Linked DNA regions of Sus scrofa. The protein of the gene in region 3 binds, or shares a complex with, the protein of the main gene of each other region. Links are inferred from orthologs where the notes say so. Each region holds a gene or a part of one and is shown on either strand. Other genes may lie near its edges. The genes, in order: SMC2, SMC4, NCAPG, NCAPD2 and NCAPH.

Evidence for each region.
Region 1: NCAPG (region 3) and SMC2 share a complex: the UniProt entries of both Homo sapiens proteins name them as parts of the condensin complex. The link is inferred for Sus scrofa from reciprocal best matches to the Homo sapiens genes NCAPG and SMC2.
Region 2: NCAPG (region 3) and SMC4 share a complex: the UniProt entries of both Homo sapiens proteins name them as parts of the condensin complex. The link is inferred for Sus scrofa from reciprocal best matches to the Homo sapiens genes NCAPG and SMC4.
Region 4: NCAPG (region 3) and NCAPD2 share a complex: the UniProt entries of both Homo sapiens proteins name them as parts of the condensin complex. The link is inferred for Sus scrofa from reciprocal best matches to the Homo sapiens genes NCAPG and NCAPD2.
Region 5: the proteins of NCAPG (region 3) and NCAPH are in contact, whole or in part, in a crystal structure (PDB 6IGX), measured with the Homo sapiens proteins. The link is inferred for Sus scrofa from reciprocal best matches to the Homo sapiens genes NCAPG and NCAPH. Residues at the interface, in NP_071741.2 of Homo sapiens: Lys11, Phe14, Arg15, Gln18, His50, Tyr51, Lys53, Tyr54, Val55, Met56, Val57, Glu62, Ala64, Val65, Val68, Phe102, Ser106, Glu108, Ala109, Asn110, Ser111, Val114, Arg115, Ile149, Arg150, Lys152, Asp153, Lys154, Arg159, Glu188; in NP_056156.2 of Homo sapiens: Glu471, Ile472, Asp473, Phe474, Glu475, Asp476, Asp477, Ile478, Phe480, Val482, Tyr483, Phe484, Arg485, Lys486, Thr487, Ala489, Ala490, Thr491, Ile492, Leu493, Gln501, Asn502, Trp503, Ala505, Thr506, Thr507, Leu508, Phe512, Tyr514, Val516.

The regions. Positions count from the first base shown.
Region 1 is NC_010443.5:245,439,059-245,445,255, reverse strand, and holds part of SMC2 (structural maintenance of chromosomes protein 2), read right to left. Parts: intron 4,518-6,197; coding exon 4,324-4,517; intron 3,496-4,323; coding exon 3,352-3,495; intron 3,335-3,351; exon of another isoform or gene 3,202-3,334; intron 2,021-3,201; coding exon 1,826-2,020; intron 1-1,825. UniProt on the Homo sapiens protein: Central component of the condensin complex, a complex required for conversion of interphase chromatin into mitotic-like condense chromosomes.
Region 2 is NC_010455.5:100,107,434-100,113,630, reverse strand, and holds part of SMC4 (structural maintenance of chromosomes protein 4), read right to left. Parts: intron 5,197-6,197; coding exon 5,044-5,196; intron 3,526-5,043; coding exon 3,399-3,525; intron 1,226-3,398; coding exon 1,036-1,225; intron 1-1,035. UniProt on the Homo sapiens protein: Central component of the condensin complex, a complex required for conversion of interphase chromatin into mitotic-like condense chromosomes.
Region 3 is NC_010450.4:12,799,080-12,805,276, reverse strand, and holds part of NCAPG (condensin complex subunit 3), read right to left. Parts: coding exon 6,091-6,197; intron 5,547-6,090; coding exon 5,372-5,546; intron 2,879-5,371; coding exon 2,714-2,878; intron 2,486-2,713; coding exon 2,350-2,485; intron 1,991-2,349; coding exon 1,907-1,990; intron 1-1,906. UniProt on the Homo sapiens protein: Regulatory subunit of the condensin complex, a complex required for conversion of interphase chromatin into mitotic-like condense chromosomes.
Region 4 is NC_010447.5:64,145,911-64,152,107, forward strand, and holds part of NCAPD2 (condensin complex subunit 1), read right to left. Parts: coding exon 6,074-6,197; intron 4,624-6,073; coding exon 4,426-4,623; intron 4,076-4,425; coding exon 3,941-4,075; intron 3,843-3,940; coding exon 3,755-3,842; intron 3,659-3,754; coding exon 3,478-3,658; intron 1,322-3,477; coding exon 1,197-1,321; intron 840-1,196; coding exon 609-839; intron 1-608. UniProt on the Homo sapiens protein: Regulatory subunit of the condensin complex, a complex required for conversion of interphase chromatin into mitotic-like condense chromosomes.
Region 5 is NC_010445.4:46,856,913-46,863,109, forward strand, and holds part of NCAPH (condensin complex subunit 2), read right to left. Parts: coding exon 6,109-6,197; intron 5,082-6,108; coding exon 4,959-5,081; intron 2,341-4,958; coding exon 2,230-2,340; intron 1,324-2,229; coding exon 1,150-1,323; intron 396-1,149; coding exon 282-395; intron 1-281. UniProt on the Homo sapiens protein: Regulatory subunit of the condensin complex, a complex required for conversion of interphase chromatin into mitotic-like condense chromosomes.

The DNA.
Region 1 (6,197 bases), on a different chromosome or scaffold from region 3:
ATATAAGTCAGATGAAGCTCTAGATGGTACCAAATTCAATATATTGCTTCAAAAAACAACTCCTGCAAGTTAAGTGTTATACGAATACAGAAGTCAGATTTGGTAAAATGTGCAAGCCTAATCCTGACTGATATCTAATAAATCTTCTTGAAATTACAATCTAAGTAAAAAACTGTCCTAAATACTGACTCCCTCCCCACCAACCTCTTTAGAAAAGGCACAAAAAAATTCTTCCTCATATAACATTTAAAAATTTTAATTATACTGCTTAAGGAAGACTTTCTTCTACTAGAATTGTTTAAGGTTGGTTTTTACTGGTAGAATCTAATCCTTGTCCAGTCATTCTTATTAATTTCATGGGTATGGTCTCACCGCTAGACTCCCAAGTAAAATCATCATTTCTAGTCTATCTTCCCTGCTGATCTGTAAGCTCTATGAATGCCTTCTGTGTTCATGATGCTCATTCTTATATTGCTAGTGCCTGGCATAGTATGAAATAAATATTTGATAAACTACGTATTTCAAGGAACCCTTGGCTTTTTAGCAGCTCTGCTTCCAGGTACCTCTTTCTATGCCCTACCCTTAACTGTACCTAAAATGCCTGGCAATCACCAAAACTAGCATTTTCAATCACAAAAAAATTATTAATATTAGCACTGATAATAATAATTCAGTGAATCTACTAGTATCAAGCTACTAAGCTAACAGGAACTCAACACTAATAAAATAATAGGACATTATGATGTGACATAAAAAATCTTGTTTAAACTAAGCAATGAATCTGAGCAAGCACTCATGGTTCTTTCAGATAAGGTGGACACTGTTTTGTAGGCTCTGATCTTTTTTGAAGTTAAATCTCTTGGACTTTTATGAGGCTAAAAAGATTTAAAAGGCACCAAACTATTACATACTAGTAAAAAAACATGATGAGAGTGAATTATTAAGACCACATAAATGCAGCCTTTTAACAAAGCAATGAATTTCTGAAAAAATCATATATTCCCTTTAAAGTAGTTAAGGCATTGTTAGAGTTCCTGTCATGGCACAGCAGAAAAGAATCCAACTCAGAACCATGAGGTTGCAGGTTCGATCCCTGGTCTCACTCAGTGGGTTAAGGATCGGTGTTGCCGTGAGCTGTGGTGTAGGTCACAGACACAGCTCAGAGCCCATGTTGCTATGGCTGTGGCATAAGCCAGCGGCTGTAGCTCCGATTTGATCCCCAGCCTGGGTATCTCTATATGCCTTGCTCAAAAAGCAAAAAAAAAAAAAACAAAAAAACAGTAGTTAAGGCATTGTGATACATGAGAGAAACCTTGAGAATGACCAAAAACCTGTGGGATAACCTCAAAACAATAACTGCTTAACATCAGATTTCAAATGAAGCTATAAAATCTGCAAATTCTCATAAGGACATCTGGAAATTGATTAAGTCCATATTATAAAAGTTGCCTGTGTATATTTATCTGTGAATTCTCTATATTCAACTTGAAATAAGGTAAAGAATACATATTATTACCACTCATACATTAATAATTAGTTTTATGAACATCTGGGGATAAAAAACAGTCATTTCCATGGGAGACCACTAAATATTTGGTTAAAAATCTTGGAGATGAGAATAAACACCTGAAATTAAATTTAAAAACAAAATAATTTTGACATTTGGTGATTGCTAAGTAGTTAACATAGTTGTAAGCCTCCAAATTACATTACATAGTAGTTCTGCCATTTACATAAAATTCTTCATTGAGCAGTTTATTGGAATATTTCAACAACCCAGAGCCAAATATTTGATTAAGGGTAAAAATGAACAACACAAACATGCCTTTGCAGCAGCATCTTCAGCTTCCCGTTTATGTTTGTTGATGTTGTGATCCAGTTCCTTAATTTTAAGCTGATATTCATTGTTTTGCTCCTTATGTTTTGCTACTTCTGCATATTTAGCTTTAACTATGTTGTCTTGGGCTGTTATTACTTCTTTTTGCTTGGTCACCTCTTCTTGGGCTTTATTTACTGACTCCTAAAACAAATAATTAGAAGACAATATATAGCAAGGTAAAATGGGGACATTTTTAGTTTACTGAGAGATCATCTAACAGACTTCTGGGCAAGATGGCAATGTGATTACAGGCAGATGGTCACCTAACCCTCTACATTTTATATCCCCATTAAAATGACTAATAAATTTAGAGATTAAAAGAAAAAATTGTACTTCCACTAGAAAAAAGAGATGAGAGGCAGTGTTCATGCTGGAATCAACAAAGTTGCTACAAGATGCAGTGTAATTGGGACCACCTGGGGGGAGGAGGGACTATTGGAATCTGACCTGTGAGGTATCTCAAGAAAGCAGCATTTTGGGAGCATATACAAGATCATATTTATTAGGAGGGGCAAACAATGACGATAGTTAACACTACTGTATATTTGAAAGTTTCTAAGAAAGTACATCTTAAAAAGTTCTCATCAAAATAAACAAAATTATAATTATGTATGGTAACAATACTGGGATCATTTCACAATGTATACAGATATTGAATCATAACATTGTATACTTAAAACTAATATAAGTATTATGCCAATTATTTCTCGATTTTTAAAAGTAGGAGTAGAAATTATAAGAAAAACAGAATTCAAGGTCAAAATCATTGGAAAAGGTGAAGAAGATATCTAATATTCATAAGGAAGGAAGAGGCTTTACTTCTTGGTTCTGATATGCTTTTTCTCAAGGGCAAGCTTGTCATGAGCAGCGGCTAGCAGCTTAGAGGGCTTCCCCTGGTATCCCAGCGGTGGGTGCTTTGCAGCATGTCTGCAGAATGGGCATCTCCCCATGGCCCCCAGCAAGTGCCCCTGTGCAGCACTTTCCTGTGCATGGCTTTCCCTAATACTCAACTAAACTTCACCACCAGTGGGCCACAGTTATTCCTTCTCTAACCAAATGTAGTTCTCACCTCTGCAGGGAGAATGGGGCTCCTTTCCAGATGTTCCTTCCAAGGATGCACTGCCTTAGCCTTATGGGTAGGGACTGTTCCCTTTATCTGCTGTTCCTACATTCTACAGAGTTCTCTTTACCCCTTAGCAATCAATCCTGGACCATTCCAAACTCCTATTAATAATGTTTTATTTAAACTTTGCCTGGTCAAATTACTATGTAGTTTTTTGTATTCTAAGTAGACCTAGACTAAAACAACTGTATTATTTCAGGTCTATTTCTGGATTGGTAATCATCATTTTGCCTCTCATCATGACAAGATTGAAGGAGCTGAGACCTCTAAAGTCAAACATCTTCAAACCACCATTTCAGAAGCAGATTAACATTTGTAATTTCTCCAACATGGTAAGTAAAAATCTTACCTTATTTTTAGCCACCTCTGCTGCCACTACTGCAATCTGGCCTTCATAGGATTTGATAGCTTCATTTACAGCTTCAAGCTGTTGTTCACAGGATGCATGCTCTCTCTTGAGCTCTTCCAGCTCCAGGGTAATAGCTTCAACTTCCTATAAGAAACACAACCTGGGCATTCAACAGGTTGTTAACTACTGAAACATTAATACATATATGTCAACCAAATTAGCAAGATTCTTAAGCAAGTAAGACCCACAGCTTTGTTACTCAACCACCAAAAACATGTAAGCTGCTTCCAAAGAAGAAAGGGGAAAGGAAACTTACTTTTCTATATTTAAAAAAGGATGATGACAAACATACATACCATTTTTATGGGTTCAAAGAACTTTTTATAAACTATTTCTTTTACCCTTTTATTCCAATAGGGGAAAACAGTATAGAATTCTATGTAGCAGATAAATCAGAAGAGGTAAAGCCTTTTTAAAACAATTATTCAATGACAAAAAAACCCGTTTTAATTTTCTTCTTTCCCATTATAGTTCTTTAGAAAATATTTTGTGCATCTATTTAATGACAGAATTATATGGTGGGTTAAAAAAAAAAAACTATGAAAAAAGGTTAGATTTAAGTAAAATTATAAAGAATAGTGAGTGACTGAGTACCCAGACTTTGTAGACAGAAAAAAACACAGATTTTTCATGAATGAAGTGTTTACCAAAAGGTAATTTTGCTCTATCTCCAAAATTAGCAAGCCAATGCAATTCCTACTTAAACCTGTGTAACAATTGTAGGGTTTCAGAGTAAAGCATATTTTACTTTGACGCATAAGATATGTAATTTGTCTCCTAAAGAGACATATTTCACTTTGCGATTTGGTAACAAATACTGATGAATAAGGCCAAGGCCAACCATGGTGGTCTGCTACCTTCAGTTCTATAATGATGTTAAAAGATTAGCGCCATTTCAAAAAAAGGTATTACCTGCTGTTTCTCTTTCATTTTCTTGCTAGAAGCATCTGCTTTAGTTTTGGCACTATCTAGTTTTCTCTGAGCATCCTTTAGCTCTCTCTCTCTTTCAGCTTCTGCGTTTTTCATTTTATTTTCCAATACTTCATATTTTTCTTCTGCTTTTTTTTGAATTTCTTTGGTGTTTTTTAAGGTCTCCTCACTTTCCTCTGCATCAGAAAGTAGACAAGTACACCTAAATGAGACCTTCAAACTATTAAGTTATAGATAATGGCTTACAAACCCAACTTTTAACAGAAGGAAAGGTATGGAAAGTCAAAAGCAAGAGGTTTTTTTAAAAAACTGTTGTAATCTTATTCTAGAAATGGTATGTTAAAACACAGCCCATACCTAAGAACTATACTTGAATTATCTAAAGGTCTGTAAAGGAATTATTTCCCACATGAAACTGAGTAACATAAACTTCATTTACAACTTATCTACTTTAAACAAGGTTTTGAAACAACTTATTAAAAAGATCACAGACTACCTATTTACATACTTGTATGCTTCCTAAAACCAGTACTGAAAGTAAGAAAGCTTACCATTAACTTCATAAACAAGCTTGCTACTTAAGTGTTCCTTGCTCATTTATTTTAATCCAAGGAACCTCTTATTAAACGAGAGAAACACTGTGAGACCATGTCTAGTATGAAGCATATTACCTCTAAATTTATATATTGAAAAATAAAAAAGTAAGCTAGAATGACCGTGTCATGGTCACATCTGACATACACTATTAAGTGTTAGGATCTAGGTACAAATATAACCCTGAAAGCCATGACTACAATTTACTATGCTACTTTTCATTATAGAATGTCACTGCAAGAAATCAAAAGAAAAATTTTAAAAATACCTTGACACAAGGGATAATGGAAATACAAGGTACCAAAATTTGTATTAGATGTATCAAAAATCAATTCTAAGAATGAAGTTCATAGCAATAAACGCCTGCCTTAAGAAACAAGAAAAATCTCAAACACAAAACCTAACTTCCACAACTTAAGGAACTAGAAAAAGAACAAATAAAGACCAAAGTTAGTAGAAGGAAGAAAATAAGAAAGATCAGAGTGGAAATAAATGAAATACACTAAAAATAAATAGAAAAAAAAATGAAACTAAGAGCTGGTTCTTTAAAATATAAAATTTACAAACTTTTAGCTAGACCTAAGGAATAAGAGTCTCCCAATCAGAAATAAAAGAGATGTTATAACTTATATCACAGAAATACAAAGAATCATAAAGTTACTATGAGCAACGTTACACCAACATATTATACAATGTAAAAGAAATAAAATCCTAGAAAGATGCAATCTATCCAGACTGAATCATGATGAAACAGAAAAATCTGAAAATCAGATTACTAGTAGGGAGATTTAATAAGTAATCAAAAACCTCCCAATAAATCAAAGTCCAGGACTAGATGGCTTTACTGTGACTTCTAACAAACATTCAAACTATTTCTTTCTCAATGTCTTCCAAAAAAGCAGATAAGGAGAAAAACTTCCAACTCATTTTGTTAGCCATCATCATCTGAATACCAAAACTAGACAATGAAGCCACAAGAAAAAAATCACATATTATTCCCCATGAACACAAATGCAAAAATCCTCAACAAAATATTAGTAAACCGAAATCATAGTATATTAAAAGGCTTGTTTACCATGACCAAGTGGGGTTTAATTCTGAGGACACAACAATGGTTCAACATCTACAAATCAGTCAACATGATAGAGAACATGAACAAATAAAGGATAAAAATCAGTCATCTCAAAAGCAGAAAAAGCATTTGAGAAAATTCAACATCTATTTATGATAAAACCTCACAATAAAGTTAAGCATAAAGAGAA
Region 2 (6,197 bases), on a different chromosome or scaffold from region 3:
ATGCCGGATCCTTAACCCACTGAGCGAGGCCAGGGATCGAACCCACAACCTCATGGTTCCTAGTCAGATTCGTTAACCACTGAGTCACGACAGGAACTCCGAAACTTCTTATATAAGCCTTTATATATCATCTGATCTTAGACTATGAAGCAAAGTTGTCTCACTCAATTATTTTATTTTTGTCATTTCCTTGTCTGATTGAGATTCTTACATCTTTACACCCATGAAGCTATTACCTTCAAATAAACAAACACCTCTTGGATCAAGTCAGTGGAAACAAGTGCTTCCAAGGGCAAGGGGCAGGAGCAGGGGGATGGATATGGAAGGATGATTGGGACCACAACATTCTCTCTCTCACACACACACACCTGACTATATTTTCTCTTAATAAAGTTACAATTACTTTGCTAACTATGTTTAGGCAAAACCAAAAGGCTTATTATTTATTAGCACCTTACCGCTGAACAAAAGACACAGCAATAACTGAATAACCAAAGAATCAATTTGCAGCCAATGTTATAATTTTAAGACAAAAAATTGTCTTAAAATGTTTGGATGTTTGTTTACATCCAAACATTTTATATACAGACTTAGCTTTATTTCAGAAACACTTTTATAAACAAGATCTAAGAATATTAAAAAAAATTGAGACAATGGAATAATCTGGATAATTAAAAATTTAAATTACAGCAATTTTGCTAAGAGAGCTCATCCTTATTCTCTTAAGACCTAGATTTATTTAAATGATTTATACCTACTCCTCTAAGCCAGAGATACAAAACTTTGACTTCCATATCCTCACAACTGAGGAGTTATAGAATCACACTTTGCTAAAGCATACCTGCTTTATCAGTTTTAAACTGGTCAGAATGCTTTTTATATATGTCCACCTATTAAAATCCTATTAGGTAATAACATGTCAGATGGGCTTAATAAGTAACAGTAACAGAAACATTTAATGGACATTTAAGTATTAACCTCTTTTCCAATGTGGATATAGGGAACAGGAAGACAGTGTAGGTATATATACTGTACCTGTCAGCAGTCTTGATTGCTACTTGGGCTTTAGTAATAGCAGAAGCACATTCATCTAACTGCTTATTTATTTTATCAAGTTTGTCTTGTTGGGCCTTGAGTTTATGGTTATTGATTTCTACAATGATGTTGTGTAACCTCTTAACCTCAGCTTCAACTTTACCAGCTTTCTCAGCCACACTGTCATATTCTGGAAAAAAAAAAAAAAAATTCGTGTTTCTAGGCTAAGGAGCATCACTTGCTAGATGTAAATCTCTTCAGTCAACATGACTTAACATGATGCATGCAAAAGAAATTTTAGACATTTAAGAAAAAGTACCTCGGAGTTCCACTCCTGGCTCAGTGGATACGAATCTGACTAGTATCCCCTGAGGATTCAGGTTTGATCCCTGGCCTCGCTCAGTGGGCTAAGAATCCGGTGTTGCTGAGGCTGTGGTGTAGGTCAGCAGCTACAGCTGTGATTCGACCCCTAGCCTGGGAACCTCCATATGCTGTGGGTGCAGCCCTAAAAAGACCAAAAAAAAGGAAAAGTACCTCAAAAACAAAAAACCCTATAACACAAAACCAAAATACCCTGTCAATATAACATGTGGTTAAATTCTCTTGCTCAGCTGTGAACATAATCTACTTATTTCTTAATGGCTTCATGCCCAGAAACTCCTTTCAAAAACAATTTTAGGGTTAGAACTCCTGTCATGGCTCAGTGGTTAACAAATCCAACTGGGAACCATGAGGTTGCGGGTTCGATCCCTGGCCTTGCTCAGTGGGTTAAGGATCCGGCATTGCTGTGAGGTGTGGTATAGGCTGAAGACACAGCTCAGATCCTGCGTTGCTGTGGCTGTGGCTTAGGCCAGCAGCTACAGCTCTGATTAGACCCCTAGCCTGGGAACCTCCATATGCCCTGGGTGCGACCCTAGAAAAGACCAAAAAAAAGAGAAAATTATAGGGTACTTTCTTGACTATTTGTCTCAATGATTTTTTTGAAGATAGTGTTGGAATTCCCATCGTGTCTCAGTGGTAATAAACCCAATTAGTATCCACACAGGTTTGACCTCTGGCCTTGCACAGTGGGTTAAGGATCCGGTGTTGCCATGAGCTGTGATGTAGGTCACAGAACTATACCTCTTCTTCTTCCGGAAGAAAACACCCCCATTTTCCGAACATTTGGGTAACTGTTCCAACTCCACTCTAACTACTTCTTTGGGATGAACAATCAAGTATCTGCCTTCTTTTCCTCACAAACCAAACCGTAACAGGGGTCCTTTCTTGTATTTGTTGGGGTCACTAGTTAAGGAACTGCAGGCCAGGAAAGGGTTTGTCATTATTAACAACCATTTCCTCCTCTTGCAATAAGATGCATATCTATCTATGTTTAATTGAAGCCACAATGGAAACAAAAAAGCAGGGATGCTCCAAGTGCATGATCAGAAATTTTAATGTCAAATCCAATCCTGACTGAGTCTATGAACTAATTCCCTTTTTTGCTTAAAGATTTTATTTTGGTAGAACACTCACATGTTATGTGTACACAAGAGGAAATGTTCTGGAACGAAAAATGTCTAAGTTTTGACACAATAATTACTATCTTGAAGGGTTCTTGGGAAGATCTGGCCATAGTATTACAAAATGTAAAATAAAGACCATGGGTTCCAGCTAAGACTATATTGTACTTAAAAAAAAAAAAAAAAAAAAAAAAAGACTCAATCTGTGGGTGCATCCCTAAAAAGACAAAAGACAAGAAAAAAAAAAAATCTATCATACTCTTAGTTTTCTGTGGAAGATTTCATCCTCTTTAAAGAAATTTAGAAGTTTTTTTCCCCTTTTATCTCCCTAATTCTGATTTGAGGTTATGTTTACAGTTAATTTGCCAATTCATTTGATGGTCTACATTTTACTTGGGAGGTTTACTTTGGTCTTTTCCTGAAGGTTTTGCAAATGAGGCACAACACAGATACTCTTCTATTAAGTGGTTTTTTTTTTTTTTTCAAAATTAAATTCAGTTGGAAAATTAAAAAAAAAAAAAGAGAGAGAGAAAAGAGAAAGAGCATAGGTTCCAGAATCAGACTACCTTGGTCCTGAATTCATATACCACAACCAAATGCTATATGACCTGGGGCAGATTATATAAACTATTCTGTGCCCCAGTTTTCTTGTCTGTCATATTAAGTACTTATTTTAAAATATAGTACTTTATAGCCTTTTGAAAATGAAAAAATAAAAAACCATAAAACAGAGTTGTTACTTTACATATGTAAGCTGCTGTTTTTTACTCTATGAACTGCTATCTTAAACATTTCAAATATTACAAACCTGTCTTTGACCATATTTTGGGGAGAGGGGGAAGTCTGTATCCTTAAACATACCTGCTTTGAAAGCATTAACATTTTCTTCCAGCAATTTCTGCTTTTTTTGGTCTGGGGCTGTAGCAAGTACATTAGCTTCGAGTTCCTTAACTTGGACACGCAAATATTCTTCTTGCTCTGATAAACGCTACAGAAATGTTTTAACATTCAAGATCAGTATTTTAACTTAACAGTAACATTTACTTTAAACATTTTTAATTTAAAAAAGGCACTTAAAATCTTTAAAAAAAAGACAAATAGGAAAAAGGGTAGAAAACATGTAAATGTGCGTTCCCGTCATGGCGCAGTGGAAACAAATCTGACTAGGAACCATGAGGTGTGGGTTTGATCTCCGGTCTTGCTCAATGGGTTAAGGATCTGGCGTTGCCATGAGCTGTGGTGTAGGTCAGCAGTTATAGCTCTGATTCGAACCCTAACCTGGGAACCGCCATATGCCCCAAAGTGTGGCCCTAAAAAGCAAGAAAACAAAAAACAAAACACCAAAAGAAAACATGAAAATGGCCAAGAAAACACATGAAACATGCAAACTCATTACAAAGACAGATTATTATGACATATTTTAGAGTAGCAAACTTACAACATATTGAGGAGTACCTAGTGTGTTCAAAGACTTGGAAAAATTATTCACATATGCTACACATATTAAGTAATAATTATAACTTTAGGACTCTACCCTAAGGAAATAACTGGATGAGTGTATTAAGGGATGCCTATAAAGATATTTTAAGCATAGTAGTGTACATAGTAACAGAAAAACTTTACCAAATTAGGGTAAAAAAAAATATGCCAATGCAACTGTAGACAAAGCAAATTTACATTGGCTTGTCAAGAAAACCATAATTAATAAGTTAGCATGAGACTAATTAAAAATCCGCATGCATATTCAAAATGTTGATTTGTATCTACCATATACATACACACACACTTAAACACTAGATAGTTACATTAAAAGTTGAATAATACACGTAAGAATTAAAGGTGATAATCTTTTGGGTATTTTATAAAATCTTTTTTTTTTTGTCTTTTTGCCTTTTCTAGGGCCGCTTCCTGCGGCATACGGAGGTTCCCAGGTTAGGGGTCGAATTGGAGCTGTAGCCGCTGGCCTATACCAGAACCACAACAACGCGGGATCTGAGCCGCATCTGTGACCTACACCATAGCTCATGGCAACACCGGATTCTTAACCCACTGAGCAAGGCCAGGGATCAAACCCGAAACCTCATGGTCCCTAGTCAGATTTGTTAACCACTGAGCCATGACGGGAACTCAAATAAAATCTTGTTTTTTAAAGACGACTTGAGGGCATGCATTGCTTTTTTGAAACTTTGTAAACATTTCAGTTTGAAATGAGAATGAAACAAAAAAAGGGTTATTAAATAGTTAAGGGAAGACACATTTCATTTCCATGAAGTACAAATGGAAATAGAAATGGCTGTGGCTGGACATCACTGTGATAGGGCATTTATCCATTAGTACTTAAGGAAACAAAATAGGCCTTACGACTTAAAGACCCGCCCTTCTTCCTCCCCTATATTTGAAAACTGTGAGCAAATAGCAAAATGATTCTGCCAAACTGCTGTTGAATTCCAATAATTTTAGCTAAAATTGATTAGGAAAAAAATACAAAAAACAAAACACCAAGTACCTGGATGCTTGCAGTAAACTTTTCTAGTGTATTCCTCATTTCTCGTTCACTATGCCTTAACTTAACTACTGTTTCTTCCAGTTGTACTTTGTGTTCCTGGATTTGCACTGCTTTTTGAGAGTCTCTCTGTAACTGTGATTCCATTTTATTTACCTAAAAAGAATACCAGTGACATAAGTTTACTTACTCTGTCATTTCAGATTAATACCAAAGTCAACTTGTGAATGAAGAAAACCCAAACTTGCAATCTTAAAGACTAGAACAAAACCAGTCTAGTTTCAATTCCAAATCCTAAAGCTTAGCAGGTGGTCAATTAACTTCTGCATCACAGAATCAGATGAAGAGAATTTTTTTTTTTGGTCCTTTTTAAAGAACATAAACTATTAAAAAAAAAAATCAAGAGAACTCTTTGGAAAAAGTTAGGTATCTAGGACATTCAAGTACATGTTTACTTTTAAAGAATTAATTTTGGGGGGCCTTTTAGGGCCATACCTGCAGCATATAGAGGTTTCCAGTCCATGGGTTGAAATGGAGCTGCAGCTGCCGGTCTAGGCCACAGCCACAGCAACATGGGATCTGAGCTGCATCTATAATCTACACCCCAGCTCATGGCAATGCTGGATCCTTAGCCCGTGGCCAGGAATCAAACCCACATTCTCATGGATACTAGTCAGGTTCATAACCTACTGAGCCAGAACAGAAGCTCCAAGTACATGTTTTTAAGGAAAAGTATATATATTGTTCTGAGGATGGTAATGGAACAACAGTTTTTCCTGAACATTTTGACATTTTCTTATACTTGCGGGAATATAAAATATTTAAAAATAAAATTTGGAAACATGCATCAGAAGTCTTTGTTATATTTATACCTTAACGAATTATTGTGAGATAGAAAAGACAACTATGAGACTTCCCACTGTGGCACAAAGGGTTCTGCAGTGTCTTTAGAGCACTGGGATGTAGGTTTGCACCCCAGCTGGGCACAGTGTGTTAAGGATCCAGTGTTGCTGCAGTTGCAGCTTAGGTCACATCTGTGGCTTGGATCTGACCCTGGACCCATGAACTCCATATGCCATGGGGTGGCCAAAAAAGAAAAAAAAAAGGAAAGCAAAGAAAAAGACAACTATGTGATACAGCAGTAACTGCAAAGAAAC
Region 3 (6,197 bases):
TTTTGCAACCTCTGATATCAGGCAAGGGAAAATATGGACACTGAATTATAAGGAAGCAAATTTTTGCTAAATTTATTTGGGAGAAAGAAGCATATGAAATACATGTTATATAAAGAAAGTACCTTTTACTGCACAAAGTATATGGAGAAACTAATTAAAAATTAAGGTTAGGTAAGATTGGTTAAGTCCATAAACAGATCCTAAAGAAACAACTTTAATCAGTAAAGTATGGTTTCTTATAAAATATTTTAAAACATACATGCTCAATTCAAATGTGTGCTCTAAAACATTTTAGCATAAAAATTAAAGCCTTTATACGCTAGGGAGATTACAAAAATTCTGCTAGCTAGAAATTTATAAGAGTAGGAAGTAAAGTGGCACCACTTATCATAAATACAACAGCAGATGTTTCCTTATGGCGCGGCAGATTAAGAACTTGGCATTGTCACTGCAGCGGCTTGCGTTTGATCCCTGGCCTAAGAACTTTCACAGGCCACAGACACAGCCAAAAAAAAAAGAAAAGAAAGAAAACAGCATATAAAGTTTGAGCTACTGGGGGGAAAAAAAAAAAAAAAAGAGGTGGGGTTCTCATGGCATATCTGACTAAAAGCAGTCTAATCAAAACCAAATTATTTGGGGGGAGTTCCTTGGTGGTCTGGTGGTTAGGAGTCAGCACTTCCACTGTTGCGGCCCAGATTCAATCCCTAGTTGGGACACAGATACCACTACCACATCAAGCTGCTACACACCAGGGCCAAAAAAAATAAATAATAAAAATTTTAAAGTTAAAATTATTCAGTATGATCATTTGGTTGAAATTTATATAACCTTTTGTTTCCTTCCAACTTTACATATTTGCTTATAAACTTCTAATGCAGTTATTCCCAAGAAAACATCCAACAACATGGGACTCATGTGGAAGAATATCCAGCAATTAGTATTTAAATAAATCACTGGCTACAAAACAATACTATGGCCAGATTCCATTTAGAAAAAGAATTAAGTATTCATTGAAAAGGACCTCAAAGAGTATTTTTCAGAGATTAAAATAATGGTTGGCTCACAGGTGGAATTAACATTCTTTATAATAGTTTGCTTGGATGTATTTTCTGATTCTTCTATAATAAGCATGCATTACTTTTGTAATAAGACAATAAAAAAAATCAAATTTCAGATTTAAGTGATCCCCTAACAGTCATGTATATTATTGCAAAAAATCTCCTCTTGTTGGATATCCCTTGGGAAATAAATTTTGTCAGAAAAATATGCAATACAAAGGAAAACAGAAACCCAGAAAAATTCTAGGAGAATAAAAGGGACAAAAATGTTTAATCAGGAGTTCGCATCGTGGTGCAGTGGTTAACGAACCCGACTAGGAACCATGAGGTTGCGGGTTTGGTCCCTGCCCTTGCTCAGTGGGTTAACGATCCGGCATTGCCGTGAGCTGTGGTGTAGGTCGCAGACGCGGCTCGGATCCCGCGTTGCTGTGGCTCTGGCATAGGCTGGCAGCTACAGCTCCGATTCGACCCCTAGCCCGGGAACCTCGATATGCCGCGGGAGTGGCCCAAGAAAAGGCGAAAAGACAAAAAAAAAAAAAAAGTTTAATCAAGTAAAGACAGACCACAAACTGATAATATAAAAAAATTATTGATCATTTGATAAAAAATCTTTATTCAACCCAAACAGTCCTTTGTATATATATATATATTTTTTTTTCAATCAAAAGCACTTGGAGCCAACACTGATACTATCTTTTAGACATAAAGAAAAACCTAGTACCAGCTGAAACAAAAAGGAAAGTTAAGGATATCTAAGATACTGAAAAATGCTTATCCCTAAGGATACAATGTATTTCACTGGATAAGAAAACTGAAAAATTTTATTCTAAAGTTAGTTCATATATTACCTCTGTTAGTCTGCTTCTGAGTGGATTTCATTCGGGTTACCTTTACATCTTTGACAGGAGTTATATACACTTCTTTATTCTTTTCTATTAAAGTAAATAATACAACAATTATAAATTAAAAACAGCTTCATGAAATATTTTAAATGACCAAATAAATGACAACCAGTCCCAAGAGCAACTACAGAAAATGTACCATGGAACGGTGTTTCAAAAAATGTGAACACTGGAAAATAAGCAAGCAAAACTCTTAAGAACATAGTTTTGCATGGTCATATGATAAGAAACGTACACACAAAAAACTTATAAAAATAAAACAAATATTTACCAGTGATACACTTCCCCGAGGGGACTTAATTAGAAAAACCTTTCTTCCATTCCTGATATCCAATCGCATGTGTGTGAAAGGTGGAAAGGACAGGATCTTATAGGCATGTGGTTACTACCTTCACTTTGAAAAAGAGTCGTGACTGTGCCGTCATCCTGCGCTGCTACAGCTTGGTCACCATTTTCTTTATTTCCTTTTTCCAGCTGAATCTTGATTTTCTCCAAAGCTCTCAGGCACGTTCTGTCTTTTACTTGCTATAACAGAAAATATTTTTTAGAGCAGCATTTTCTAATCTTAAAAAAAGATATATACTAACAAAGTTGTTTAAAAACATTCTAAAAATTCTACTAAGTTTATGAAGGCAACATTTACTTCAAAGAGCAAAGTCACAATATACTCATGTATATATAAATTACTAGAACCATATCAATTCTACTTTGCTAAAGATATATACACATTGAGAGTAACTAGAAACTACTTACCTCTAGAATCTCATTCAACAGAACCAGAAGATCTTTATTAGCAAGATCACTACTGAGCTCTAACGAACTCAAGGCTTTAGTATAGACCCGAACTTCTGGTGAACATGGACATGACAGGATCTCATTGCAAATTTTTATAGCCAGATTGTCATGAACTGTTAAGGCCTGGAAAATCAAGAGAAAAATCCTTAAAAACTGAGGTGGTATGATCATAATACAGTCCTACACATCATTTCCAACTACTGTGACATAATCCCAAATGCAGAATGTCTAAAAACCAATTAACCTACTCGCCAGATGAGCTCCCCTTCTTACAGTGGATGCTATGGTACAGGGCCTGCTCCACTTTTACTACTGAATCATTCATTCTCTAGGCTAGCATGAGTTTTGGAGGTTCAAAGTTCCCAATGCAGAAATGATCCCAGGTTGAAGACAATGTGCTCTGCCTAAGGTCACACCTCCTCCCTAAGAGTCAGTCCACATTCAGTAACTCGTAGATATACAGATACAACAGCCTAGCCTTATCTCAATTCTGGACAAATCAAAGAACTATCCCAATTCCGGAACCTCCTATGAGATCAGCTGGGATCTTACAACTACATGCCACTTCAACTTTGTGCTCTGCCCAATCTATTTCCCTCGCCCTTCCAAGATGTTCATCTTAAGAGTACGCCCTAATGTTAATCGCTTCTTTGAGCTCTTCTATCACTCATACTTCATTCAGCTCCTTTGCCTTGCAAAGCTTTCTCTTCTAAATTTTTGTATCTATTTTTTTTTTTTTTGGCTGCCCCACAGCATATGGAGTTCCCAGGCCAGGGATCAGATCTGAGCGACCCAAGCCCACAGCTACAGCAACTCTGGATCCTTAATCCACTGTGCCAGGCTGGAGATCAAACTTGTGTCCAGTGCTCCCAAGATGCTGCCAATCCCAGTGCACCACAGCAGGAACTCCCACAATTTTTTTCTCTTTTCTATTTCTTTTTCTGTAAGCTTTTATCTCCTAACTGCACCGATTTTTTTTTTTTTTTTTTGCTATTTGTTGGGCCGCTCCCGCGGCATATGGAGGTTCCCAGGCTAGGGGTCGAATCGGAGCTGTAGCCACCGGCCTACGCCAGAGCCACAGCAACGCGGGATCCGAGCTGTGTCTGCAACCTACACCACAGCTCACAGCAACACCGGATCCTTAACCCACTGAGCAAGGGCAGGGGCAGAACCCGCAACCTCATGGTTCCTAGTCGGATTCCTTAACCACTGCGCCACGACGGGAACTCCTGTACCGATTTTTAACTGCTCTCTTTGTTAATATTCTCTATACCTCTTACCAATTCACCTCACCTAATGATAATGACCACCAAGTTAATTTTCCTAATAATTTTCATCCCATTAACCCTTTCATTACATGCTCTGCAAACAGAGTCAACTCCAAACTCCCTATTCTAAGGTTCTGCCCTAACAGGCTTATTCGAGATCCTTAGCTGTAATGATTTCTTCCATAATTCCCCGACATGACTTGTACAACCAGCTACATTTAGCATCTTTCCTAAAGTCTCTTCTCTATGCAAACCACCCCTCAAATTCCCACAAGGCCTAAGTAAATAAAGCACTTAGTAGCTTTATCACTGACCCTTACTAGATTTTGCCTTAATATCCTTTGTAATCTTTCCAATAACATGTAACATAGTGGCTGCATACTTCAATTACTAAGTGTCAATTAAAACAGAAGACCAATCCTTTCACCTTAGTCAGCTAGTATCTGAAATCATTAACACACTGATTTTCAAATGGTGAATGTTTGAGCAAATGGTGTTAAAGGGTTAAAAACCAGCTTACATTTAAATTGTGTGAGATTACACACTTACCCCGCATCTTTGAATTAAAAACAAAACTAAGCTTGAGGTGAGTTTCATTCTTTGAATTCTCCTTCCTTGTATTAGAAACACAGCAGAAAAACCAACAATTGAGGACTCAGAGAGTCCTACATGACAGGTCATGGTTCAGAACGATTAACATCCCAGCACTAGGTGAGGAGAGGGTAGGAAGGACGACGAATTTTTGCTAACTTTAGCAGCAAAAACGTTAGCACTGACTACTTCTATTTTTGTGATTCTCCCCATTTCCCAAAAGTTCTTTTGCATTTTTAAAAGTATAGTTCATCTACAATGTCATATTAGTTTCAGGCATACAAGAGGGATTCAAAATTTTAATGGATTGTACTCCATTTAAAGTTATTACAAACTAATGGCTGTATTTCCCTGTGCTGTACAATATATCCTTGTAGCTTATTTATTCTATATGTAAATCCCTTATTTCTATCTTGCACTTTTTAATCCCTCATTTCTATCTTGTCCTTCCACCTTCCCTCTCCCCACTGGTAACCATTTGTTTGTACTCCATATCTGTGTTTTATTAATACTTATTGTTTTAGATTCCCACATATAAGTGATGGTATTTGTCTCTGTCTGACTTATTTCACAAAGCATACTACCCTCCAGGTTCATCCATGTATTTGCAGAAGATCTTGTTCTTTGTGCTATGTGCTACCGTATAAAACAGGAATCCCAAGGTCAATATGCAGCTTCTATTTCAAAGTATCTATGAAAGGGATTGTTTCACCAAAGCAACAGTGACTCCTTACCATCCAAAGGCTAACTCACCTACCTGATAATCTTGGGAATCCTTGGCTTTAGGATTTAATCCACTTGGTCTCGTCAAATCTACAAGTAACTCGGCAACATTAGTGATATCTATTTCAGCTAAAGGAGAAGAGCCAGGGGCATTGGCCAGTGTTTGTAGAGTTGGAAGAAAGGCTTCTTCAAAACATTCCTGGTTATTCCTATTGAAAAACAATTTGAGCAAAGTTGGCAAAGAAAAAGCATGTGACCACTAAAAAAATTTTTAGGAGCTCCCGTTGTGGCACAGCAGAAATGAATCCAACTAGTAACCATGAGGAAGAGGGTTTGATCCCTGGCCTCGCTCAGTGGGTTAAGGATCCGGCATTGCCGTGAGCTGTGGTGTAGGTCACCGATACAGCTCAGATCCTGCATTGCTGTGGCTGTGGTATAGGCCAGCAGCTGTAGCTCCGATTTGACCACTAGCCTGGGAACTTCCACATGCCACAGGTGCAGCCCTAAAAAGCAAATGCAAAAAAAAAAAAAAAAAAAAAAAGTAAATATATATGAAATTCACCCAAGATAACAGTACATGTTCATCTGGGAAAGAGTCAAATAATTTAGGTGGACAGATGTTAGGTAAATTCTTCCCATTCCCTCACTATCATTGAGGAAAAAGAACATTAACAACAAAATACTATAGCTATGACTCATGGGGAGCCTGAACTGAACCTCCAGTTAGATTTTGATTTATCGAGGACTAAGTACCTGCTTGCATAAGCAAAGAGGGGAAAGAACACGCCAAGGCAATGTCGAAGTCGAACATCCTCTTCAGTCACAGGATTATACCACAACAAGACAAGCCGGGAAAGAAT
Region 4 (6,197 bases), on a different chromosome or scaffold from region 3:
TCTCAACACTCATAGAACCTTCCTTAATGTAAATCAACATCGTGTGGAAGCCTTCATTTTCCCTGAGGATGCTGACTCCCCTAAATGACCTACCGTGAAATACTAAATGCGCTAAAATAGATGTCCTCCACAGGGCTACACAAAGCATGGGGAAGTAAAGTATCTGGGCAGGTCTAAGGAGCAAATACAGAAAGAAAGACGAATACCACAGGACGAGGGGTTGCCAAGGGCAAGGGGGGAAGAGAGTGGGATGAACAGGGAGTTTGGGGTTGGTAGATGCAAACTATTACACTTAGAATGGATAAGCAACGAGGCCCTAATGTATAGCACAGGGAACTATATCCAATCTCCTGGGAAAGAACATGATGGAAGATGAGAAAAAGAATGTGTGTGTGTGTGTGTATACATATATATATGTATGCATGTATGAATGATTGGGGCATTTTGCTATATAGCAAAAATTGGTACCACACTATAAAGTAACTATAATAAAAATAAAGCAAAACAAAACAAAAAACCCAAAGGAGCAGACAGACTGTCAATAAAATATGGGCAAGAATGGTTTTTCCAACTTCAAGCCCCATCCTTACAGAGGGGGCGCTGCCCACCTGTGGTTGTGTGTTCATACATCATCTTGCTGATGATGCCAATGGCCTCTGTGATCTTCTGAGAGAAGCTGTAGGCGTCCTGCAAGTACTGCACCAGCATTTCCTGCTTCACCAGCTCATCATCTTCCCTGTGTTTCTCAGGCGCTGACTGGTCTTCACAGCCAGTTTCTCCTGAGCCCAAGTTCCCCACAGCCCCCTGGGGAGTCTTCTCCTGGGTGGGAGCTTCTGGGCCTAGGAGTCAGAGAATTACAAGATGGTTTTTGTACAGGGGCATATGGACAAACCAACAGCTCTAAACATCCCTGGATATTCATTTCTACAAGAGGAAAGCATGAATTTAGAATTAAGTATCTTGGTTCACATCTCAAAAAAGATTCGAGTCCTCTGTGGTCTGGAAATACCCTTTGATACCCCATGACTATCGATCTTGGGCTGGGGCTGCTTCCATTCCAAGGCAGAAGCACTGCTAACTCCCCTTTGGCCTCTTTCAGCATCAGGTTGTCAGCGAGGCCAGCATCTGACATAAACAGTCCATAAACACTAGTTGAAATGTCTTGCTTATTGACTGAAGAAGGAAAAGGAATTTACCTTTGAAGATAGTTCCTAAGAGAGTCAGGAACCTGGTCTCCTCTGAATCCTCTGGGTCCATATGACAGAAGGGCTGAGACTCCTGGAAGTGGCCTATGGCTTCTCGAGCTAGAATGATGGCCTGCCTGACAGAACATCATCTGTCACCAATTTGGCACCATAAGAGTGTCTGCAACCCTGTGTCAGGGAGCCTATTTCATGATTCTATCAAGAACTGAGACCTATGGGTAGAGAATTCTGTCATTTGTGTAAAAAGGGGGAAAAAATGAAAACATGTTTGACTGTCTGACTGAACATTATTTCTAGAAAGAGGCTCTGTAACAACCAGCATTGCCTTCCCAAGAGAAGGGAAGTGAATGGCCGGAAAGCAGGTTTGGAAGGGATTTTTCAAGGCATGTCCCTGTAATTTTAAATTTTTTACAATGTGAATATATTGTCTAATTTCAAAAAAGCAGGTTTCTGTTAAAACAAACAAACAAACAAAACACTGCTATTAAACCATTAAAAAAAAAGTTAAAAAACTTTAAAAATGTTTTGTTCTGGAGTTCCCATTGTGGCTTAGTGGTGACAAACCTGACTAGGATCCATGAGGTTGTGTGTTTGATCCCTGGCCCTGCTCAGTGGGTTAAGGATCAGGCTAGGATTAGACTCCTAGTCTGGGAACTTTCATATGTCTTGAATGCGGGCCTAAAAGACAAAGACAAAGGAAAAAAAAAAAAAAAAAGATTTGTTCTAACACATGTTTAAGTTTGTAATTGGAAGCCAAAGCCTGCACTATTATTAAGAACTTCACCCAGCTTCAACCGCTGAAGATTGCTGGAGGAAGAGACATCTCTAACATGGCAAGAAGCGTTTTTTTTCTTTTTTTTGGCCTCATTCACAGCATACTGAAGTTCCTGAGCTAGGGATCAAACCCATGCCACAGCAACAACCCAAGCTGCTGCAGTGACAGTGCTGGATCCTTAACCTGCAGTACCAAGTGGGAACTCCATGAAGAAGCCTTTTTCTGAAGGATCATTAGGATGCCTGGAGGCCCCTGGCCACCTTCTCTTTAGCCTTTTCTGAATAGCCTAATTAGGTAAGAAGTAAACAAGTAACTTTGGCTGAGGTTTAATACCTGTTAATGGCTATAAGGCTTTGGTTGCTGTGATGAAGTTCTAGACAAAAAAATCTTATCTCTAAGATCAGGATTCATATTAGATTGATTAAAGATTAAGGCAGGAGTTCCCGTCGTGGCGCAGTGGTTAACGAATCCGACTAGGAACCATGAGGTTGCGGGTTCGGTCCCTGCCCTTGCTCAGTGGGTTAAGGATCCGGCGTTGCCGTGAGCTGTGGTGTAGGTTGCAGGTGAGGCTCGGATCCCGCGTTGCTGTGGCTCTGGCGTAGGCCGGTGGCTACAGCTCCGATTCAACCCCTATCCTGGGAACCTCCATATGCCGCGGGAGCGGCCCAAGAAATGGCAAAAAAGACAAAAAAAAAAAAAAAAAAAAAAAAGAATTAGAAAGCCGTTACAGATCTTACGATCTAATCATGTCCCTGGCTTGCGGAAGTTTCTCGGCCAGGGATCAAACCACTGCAGTGACCTGAGCCTCAGCAGTGACAATGTCAGATCCTTAACCTGCAGAGCCACCAGGGAGCTCCCCCTAATAAACTATTTTAAAATAAATAATGACACTGAGGCCCAGAAAGTTTAAGCAACTTACTTTACAGAATCAGAATTATACTTATAGGTCTTCTTCTTCAAATGAAACAGAACTTTGGTCATATTTAATTACAATACTATGTACATTTAGTTGTTTTAGTAGTTTCTTTAAACATTTGTAAAAGTAGAAAGCACACTTAATCGCAGACTTTGCCTTTAGCATAAACCTGGTGTTCAGACCATTACTGCCATGAAAATACCTACCAGCATACCCTAAGTGCAGTTCATTTGAAAAAACACTGTTTCTCAAAGGTTAACTCTAAACCTTGGAGTTCCTGTCACGGCTCAGTGGTTAACGAATCCGACTAGGAACCATGAGGTTGCGGGTTCGATCCCTGGCCTTGCTCAGTGGGTTAAGGATCCGGCGTTGCCGTGAGCTGTGGTGTAGGTTGCAGATGTGGCTCGGATCCCGCCTTGCTGTGGCTGTGGTGTAGGTCGGTGGCTACAGCTCTGATTAGACCCCTAGCCTGGGAACCTCCATATGCCACGGGAGCGGCCCTAGAAAAGGCAAAAAGACTAAATAAATAAATAAAAATAAACCTAACAGGTCATTCGAGAATATCCTAGGCTTTCACATACCTGTAACTAGCTTTGGCTAGCAACTGACGGATGCGACTTTCCACCTCTTTGGCGGTCTCTGTCTCGGCAATTTCCTCAGGCATCCCCTCTCCTTCCTGGGGGAGCTTCAGCAGCTGCTGCAGGGTAGCCTTCAACTCTGGCAGCATGGCTTCCCACTCGTCCTCTGGGTCCAGCACTGTGGCTGAATGAGAAAGTCTCACTTAGACTCTTGCACTCAGTTTCCGGCTGGAGGGAGAAGGATGTCTGAGGTGAGCATGCCCATGCAGCGATCACTCACAAGCAGCTGCAGCTCGCCTCTGGGCCCTCATCTCTTGTAATTTCTGGGTTTCTTTCTGCAGTGGTCCAGCAAGGTCAGTATCGCTAAGCTATCAGGGTAAAATGAACATCAGGGTCATGAAGTCATGGAATTTCACCTCTTTTTCCATTTAATTTATCCTTTTTGGGGTGGAACAAGCCCTCTTACCTTGCAGGAAAAGGGATTATTGGCGAGAAAACTGGCCAGCAGCTGGATGGCATTTTTACATACCAGCACCGACTTGTCTGCCAGACGCCCCACTGCTAAGGCCACCACTGCCTGGAAACGTGTCAGGGGTAGAGCCTACGCGGGGTAAGAAGAGAGGATGAGATCCCACCTTACACCTTCCGTTCTGCTCAAGACGCTCATGAAGTACACTCTACATGAGATACCCACTCATTCTAAAGAAATTTTTCTATGGGATGTGAATAGTTCAGGAGTACTCTTTCGCAGTGGTTAAGATGCAGTGTAGTCCTTAAATGGAGCCCTGCATCCTTGTCCTTGATAGAGGAAGACCTTACTAGTCGTAGTAAAATCCTGAATTCTAGACTCTTCTTTGACACAGCTACTTCCTTTTGACCCTGGATTCCTCCCTTCTTCAGTCTGTACACAGTGGGATACTGTGTATCTTTATCATGTTGAAGGCTGCTCACCTTCTGCTGGACGATCCGGGTGAAAAGTTGCAAAACACGGCTCCGCACAAAGGAGTTGACGTCGTGGCCATGGGCTTGCAAGGTGTCCAAGAACTGGTCTCGGGTGTCTCGGGCCGCTGCCTCCAGCTGATCCCCATTCAGAACCTGCAGCACCATCTCTGCCATGGCTGCCAGCACGGCATTGCGCATCATGTAATTCTGAGGGAAATTAGGTTGGTATAAGCCTCTGCACCCCAATACTAACTGTCCTTTCCCTAAACTCTAGTGTTTATTCAGGCACAAAGGAGGGGTAAGGCCTTTAGGCAAGGTTAATTAAGCTTGCTTTTCTCAGCTCTGACTTTTTCTGTCAACTGCCCAACAGGTATTTTCCCCAAGAGCACTGGAAAAAGATGAATTCCAGGGACTTCCCATTGTGGCTCATCGGGTTCTTAACCGATGGGTTCAATCTCTGGCCTCAGTTGGTGGGTTAAGGATCCAGCGTTGCCGCCAGCTGCAGTGTAGGTCAGTGATGCGGCTCAGATCTAGTGTTGCTGTGGCTATGGCATAGGCCAGTGGCTACAGCTCTGATTTGACCCCTAGCCTGGGAACCTCCATATGCTATGGGTGTGGCCCTAAAAAAAAAAAAGAATCCTAGAAGGTCTTGTCTGCTCAGAGGAGAATGCAGGGACAAAATAAGCAAGGGCCAAGAGAAATTTTTTCTCACAAGGCTCATCCAGGTAACCATGGTGGCAGGTGAATATGAAATCACATTTCTCCACCAACACACTTTTGAAAAGCAGTAATTTCTACCTTCCATCTGAGGCTGAAACCCTTTGATCCTTATTAATAAACACTGCCTTTCCCTCACACTCCCTGTTCCACACCTTACTGACAGAGAAGCACAAATCAGCCCTAGTGCCAACCACTTCCATCACAGAATCTGATGGAGGATAGGGTCTGGGAGTTTGGCCAGGCCAAAAGCCAGAGAATGGGGTCTTGCATTAAAGGTTAAAGTATATTAGGAGTTCCCAATGTGGTGCAATGGGATGGGTGGCATCTCTGGAGCACTGCGATGTAGGTTAGATCCCTGGCTAGGCACAGTGAGTTAGGGATTCGGGGTTGCTGCAGCTCGGATCTGATCCCTGGCCCAGAACTCCACACGCTCCAGGGTGGCCAAAAAAAGAGGGGGAAAAAAAAAACCAAACAACAGGTAAAGTACATTAGATGAAAGGGTGGACTGTCTTTGTCTCTGACTTTCACCAAGGAGCACCGGCCATCAAGGGCCAGGTTAACACTAAGGGATCAGAGAACTGAGAGGGAAAACCTGGGTGGGTCTGAGAACCAGGTGACAGGAAGAGGCTGCATCCTGAGGACTGCATGGGATTCAGAATCACAGCTGAGTCACTCTCATTAGACTTAAGCTGAGGAACCATCATCTATCCCACCAGACCTGGATGAAACCAGCATGACACTGAACTAGGATTAATACATGGCTCTTTATTCAACTTAATAAACTTCAACTCTTTCTCTATAGGAAGGAATTGCCACAGCAAAAAGCCTAGACAACCTGACTTCATGTGAAAGCTACCCTCTTGTTAAGAAACAACCTTTCAACAATGGACACAGAACCCTTAGAAAACCCTGAGATCCCCAGGGGACCACCACCTACTTCTCCATCCAGATGATCTAGCAGAATGCATATGCTGGACATCAAGATGGCTGGGACACGCTCCGCTAGTTCTGTCAGGAAGGTGGCAAAGCCCTTTGCCCCTGAAGGGTCCCGACTCAGCTCC
Region 5 (6,197 bases), on a different chromosome or scaffold from region 3:
TTCCCCAATTCCATACTAAAAAGCATTTAATTGCTAAAGCTGTTATTTCAAAGCTGTATAAAGATGCCTTTATTTGTATTTTTTGATACCAGCTAGCCTGAACAATGTGTGTCACCTTCTGTGTGACCTGTCTGTTTGTATACTTGGTTCACTTTCTTCTCAGAGGAATGATGTATTTCTGAATGAAGGCTTTCCATGTTAGCGCTACCAATCCTGCAGTTCAGCCAAGAGTCACGCCTTCCCCCATGCCAGGCACCCACAGAGGGAATGGAACACCTTACCTCTGCGTCCGCTTGCTTGGGGAACTCCGTCAGCAAATCCCACATGCTCTGCTTCAGCTTCTTCATGTCCATCTTCTTGGCAGTCTTAGCATACTGAATTTCAATTTTATTTACCTGAAATAGGCATATGACAAGTAAAACTAAGCAGAAGAAAGAAGCATTACCATCAGCTCTTTGTAAAAAGAAAAGTCTGGAGTTCAAATAATGAAAAAAATCTATTTACACCACAAAGTTACAGAGCTTCCTTTGGACATTCTAAAACACAGTCCCTCATTTCATCTAATTTCTTCTCAGTCGAGCACAAAAAAGGTACCCTGGAATTTCAGTGTAAAGAAGTGAATCAAATATATATATTAAATGGAATGATCATTTAATACGAATTGAATCTGGCCAAGACTTTCTAGAGCCAAATAGCTAGCCTTAGCCAATAGCAGAGAAACCAATTCTCTCGGCCTGCAGGCTTCATTCACATACTTTGCTTGTGTGGCTGGTTCGCCGCTAGTCATCCAGTTTATAACAATCTTTGGAGAGATGGCTAGTTCCACAAACATAACTAGCATCGGTCCATTCCCTACAGCCTTATTTAAGAATCAGGCACTTAAGAGAGCAGTGGGTTAAAACTGAGAAGGAAAAACGTCAAGCTCATGCTAATATGACTCTCATAAAAGAGGCAAATTCAACAGATCTCAGGCAAATAATATTGACTATGAGGAGTTCCCTAGTGGCCTAGTGGTTAAAGATCTGGCATTGTCACTGCTGTGGTTCCAGTCACTGTTGTGGAACGAGTTTGATCCCTGGCCTAGGAACTTCTGCATGCTGTGGGTGCAGCCAAAAACAAAAACAAAAAAATTCTTGGCTTCATCTTTACCTTCTGAGGCTCAGCCACCAGATTTGACTCTCCATAAGTTGTGATATCTGACCCTTGGACTTCAGGCATGTCATTGTTGTCTTGTGTTGTCATAGGTGGATGGCCAGAATGGTCAAAGGTCCCAACTGGTCCCACAGATAAGTCCTCTGACTCTTCATCATCACTGTCAGCAGCCTGGGCGAAGAAGTGAGCTTTTCAAATTTGGCAGAGCTGTTTAAAAATATCCTTGAACAGATTCCATACATAGCAGGAGCAGAGCACCTGAGAGTTCGTGATGTCACATCAAACCTAGAATGGACGTCTAGGTGCCTCCAGGGAGCCCAGCACCAGACCTGATCTGTGGGATGGGGCCGGGAGTTGGTTTTTTAAAAGGCTCTCTGGAGGACTCTAATGCACACTGAGTCTGAGGAGCACTGATCAAGAAGGCAGTTTGGATTTTCATTAAAATATTAACAACTTTCTTCTAAGAAAGAAAATAAGGTGAATAAACTATTCTTCCACTTCTTTTCCCTCTGCCCACCTTCAGGGACACAGATGGGGCCTTCCCCCACTTCCATCCACTATCTCACTTGTAGACTCACAGAGGGATTTTGAGGTTTACTCTGAGATCTAAAGATGGGAAGTAGCTTATACAATTCACAATCGGAGAACCAAAATCAGAGCTACAAGCCTGGTCTCGTGAAAGCCACTCCATAGGCTATTTTCCCTGTCAGAACACACTGTCTTCATATCTGTGTGTTTTGTCTCCCCAGCCAAAACATCAGCTCCTAAGAGTGGGAGAAGTGTTTCTTTTCCTTAGAAATCCCAAATGACCACGGCGAGCACTTTGTACAGGCTAAAGACTCCATCCACATGGTTGCCGGTGTACTACAGTATGTCCGTGTTTTTCTGCACACAGAGCTCAGGGTAAGGCAGGCGCAGGTTCTGGCTACCGCCTCAGCTCTGCTCAGTTTGATGCCGGGGCAGGCGGGCATCCACAAACCCTCACCTAACTCAGAATCGCCCCCAGCCTTCTGCCTCACAGGACAGGTTGAAACTCTCCTGCTCAGAAGAGAGGATGGAGTTCTGGCCCCTGTTTACCTGTAATCCAGGGCAAAAGTTGGAGGTATCGTTAGGGTTGTTGTAATCATAGGCTTCAACTTCTTCATAATGCTCGGTCCCTGCCCTTTGGCCTTGGGCCATCTTAAGTAACTAGAATGAAGGAAAGAACAACTGCAGAAAGCAATTTCTAGAAAAGCAGCTAGTAAACTAGGCTAGGGAGATAACCTTAGTTCCTATAATCATTTCCCAGCACGTTAGGGTTCTGAGAGCCCTGAGAAGTCATCTGATCCAGCCAACTTTCAACTAACTGCACAGCTCTACCCTAGAGCAAGCCCAGGGCTGCAGGGCTCCAAGCTACGTCCAACCCAAGTAAACCAGAGCAGCCAGCCTGCACTTAGGTCTACATACAACTTTATTTGAAAAAGTGTTCTTTCACTAAAAACAAAACCACCTAGGAGTTCCCATCTTGGCTCAGTGGTAATGAACCCAATTAGTATCCATAAGAATGTGGGTTTGATCTCTAGCCTCACTCAGTCGGTTAAGGATCTGGCGTTGGCATGAGCTGCAGTGTAGGTCACAGATGTGGCTCGATCCTGTGTTGCTGTGGCTGTGGTGTAGGCTGGCAACTGTGGCTCCAATTCAACCCCTAGCTTGGTGTGGCCCTAAAACAAAACAAAACACACACACACACACACACACACACAAAACCATCTAGAGCTATCTGAAAAGAAGTCAGCTTGTTGCTGCTAGAACAGATCTGAGCCACATCCATGGGCCCTTGTTCCCTTCAAGGGTTTCAGAGCAAGTCTGCGTCCTCTTTGGGGAGTGCCTGTGGACCACAGTCCTTCAGATATTCTCAGGCCATTAGGCCAGTGATCTTCAGTGGGGGGGTGTGTCTTTGGAGTGAAGGAAATGGGATTAAGACTATGTACAGTTTACAAAAGTACAGTGAATATTTTAATATAACATATACTACAAGACTTGAGAGTTGGTGTTAGTAGATGCAAACTATTGCATTTGGAGTGGATAAGCAATGAGATCCTGCTGTATAGCACAGTCACTTGTGATGGAGCATGATGAAAGATAATGTGAGAAAAAGAATATAAATATATATATACATATATGTGTGTGTGTGTGTGTGTGTATATGTATGACTGGGTCACTTTGATTTATAGCAGAAATTGACAGAACATTATAAACCAACCATAATGGAAAAAATGAAAATCTTAAAAAATACTACAAAAGCAGACCAAAAGACCTCAATGCTTTTGTAATATAAATCCAAAAATAAATTAATAGATATTTATTAAGAAATGCCCACTTGCTCTACTTTTCTTCATATGTTACAATTTCTAAATCCTTCTCCATTTGGAATACTCTCCTCTGGTCACACTCTAAATTGTCCAGGAGTTCTCACTGTGGCTCATCAGGTTAAGGACCTAACATCATCTCTGTAAGGATGCGGGTTCAATCCCTGGCCTCACGCAGTGGATTATGGATCCATCATTCAACTGATCGGGTTAAGGCCTCTGATTTGACCCCTGGTCTGGGAACTTCCATATGCTTCAGTAAATAAATATATAAATAGTCCATAGTCTACAAGAAATTTTTTAGGAAGTATATGTGACCCCCTCACATACTGGCTGGCTGCTATGAGAATCACCCTTTAAAATATCAAACTGGATGTGTGAATAATCTGTATCGTCTCCAGTACTAGGCACTCTTCAGTGTGGCTCTGCTGGCAGGAAGAGGGGAGGTATCCCAGGCTCTCACTGCCTGGCTGCCCTACTACACACCCAGGGAAATCTGCTCCTGTGGATAATCAGAAGCAGGAATTCTTTCCTCTAATGGAAACAATTATGGAAAAAAACCACAAAATACAACTCCTGGAGTGCAATGATCCAATGACTTTGTTTTACCATCTTCACATCTGAATAAGCAATTACCCCCTAGGCCAGGTTCTTCACTGTTCATAATAAGGGCTTGAGGGAGGAACAGGTAGCTTGTGGCCAGGAGAAGCAGCTGGGGCTTGGGCCAGGTGTGGTGAAGTGTCCTCCCATCTCCCTTCAGCTCCCCAGCAGACTGGTTCTGCTCCTCCACCTCATGAGTCGAGGGTCCAGTATGGTTACCCTGGCAACAGAACTCGCACTTGCTGCTTAGCATCACCAGAGGAGGGAGCATCCCAGGCAAAGGAAATGAATAGCCACTGGGCTGCAGTGGAAGCTGCTCTTAGAGCACCGATCTGATCAGCCATGGAAGGAGCTTGGGCAGCATGTGCAGCACCAGGGAACCCAAGGACCATATGGTCAGATGCTTGGCATCTACATCACCTGCATATAACAGCAGGCTTGCATCTACACCTGGATCACAGGGAGGCAACATGAGCTGGGGAAAGCATCTGGCTAGTGAATCCACAACTATCATGAGAAACTGACAGAATCAAAGACTAAAGAAATAACTAACATCTTGTAAAAACCTTGACAAAAACTTGTTTAGCACTCTGCATTTTGGCATATAGGCCTGAGTGTCCAGCAATCCAACCAGGGGAGATATCTGCAAGTCTTGAGCATGTGTCTGTCCTACAAGATTTTCCCTCTAGCTCTGCCTTCCGATGTATCTCCCGGAGATGCCCCTGGACTAACACAAACTCCTTGCACTCTTGCCATCACCTCAAAGGCATAGACAGTCACACTATCAGCCACTTGATACCTCTGATGCTATGAACAGGTTTAACAATGTGACTTTAAGGAATCAATGAACAGCCTTACCCTGGTGCCTGGTTTGAGATGCAGCTGGACAAGACTTTCAGTCTCATAGTGGAAATCTGTAGGAAGAGTGGTGGCTCTCCAATTCTGGTTCTCCAAAGTGGACTTGCTCAGAATAGTAGCAGCCTATTAATAAAAAACAAAAAAAAAAAAAGCTTTTAGCCATCTTTAATAAAAATGGTCTCTATTTTCATTTTTTGTTTTTGAAAGGCCTTTGGGAAGGGTTTGGGTAGCACTCATCTACCATCAGAGTTCTTATTTATATGTAAAGGAGTGATTCTGTCAGATATTATTTATATTCTAAACTTGATTCTCTCTGCCACTGAGTTTGGGACTATTTCTTAATTCCTCCAGAAACTGAGGGAGAATGAAGCCATCCATTTAACTCTGAGTTAAATTCATAATGAATTTTTTAAAAATCACATCTGAGGAGTTCCCATTATGGCGAAGCAGGAACGAATTCGACTAGGAACCATGAGGTTGCAGGTTCGATCCCTGGCCTCGCTCAGTGGGTTAAGGATCCAGTGTTGCCGTGAGCTGTGGCATAGGTTGCAGACGTGGCTTGGATCTGGCATTGCTGTGGTTCTGGCATAGGCCAGTGGCTACAGCTCTGATTAAACCCCTAGCCTGGGAACCTCCATATGCCGTGGATGTGGCCCTAAAAAGGACAAAAAGACAAAAAATTAAATAAATAAATAAATAAAAATCCCATTTGGGAGTTCTCTTGTGGCTCAGCAGGATCCAGCATTGTCACTGCAATGGCTTAGGTCACTGCTGTGGTGGGGGTTCAATCCTTGGCCTGGTAACTTCCACATGCTATGGTAAAAGGTAAAGAGGAGTGCAAAGAGTAATTTAAGAAATGATAATAAACCCAGCACAGGGAGTTGCCGTTGTGGCACAGCTGAAACGAATCCAACTAGCAATGATGAGGTTGTAGGTTCTATCCCTGGCCTCACTCAGTGGGTTAAGGATCTGGTGTTGCCTTGAGCTGTGGTGTAGGTTGCAGATGTGGCTCAGATCCTACGTGGCAGAGGCTGTGGTGTAGGCTGGCAGCTGTAGCTCCGATTCGCCCCCTAGCCTGGGAACCTCCGCATGCCACAGGTGCGGCCCTAAAAGCAAAACAATCAAACAAACAAAAAAACCCAGCACAAACCTTTGTTTTTCGAAAATAGACATGAAAGTCAATATCATCATCAAAGTCGATTTCAAAATCCTTCTTTGCACTCTTCTTTCTGTTCTCTG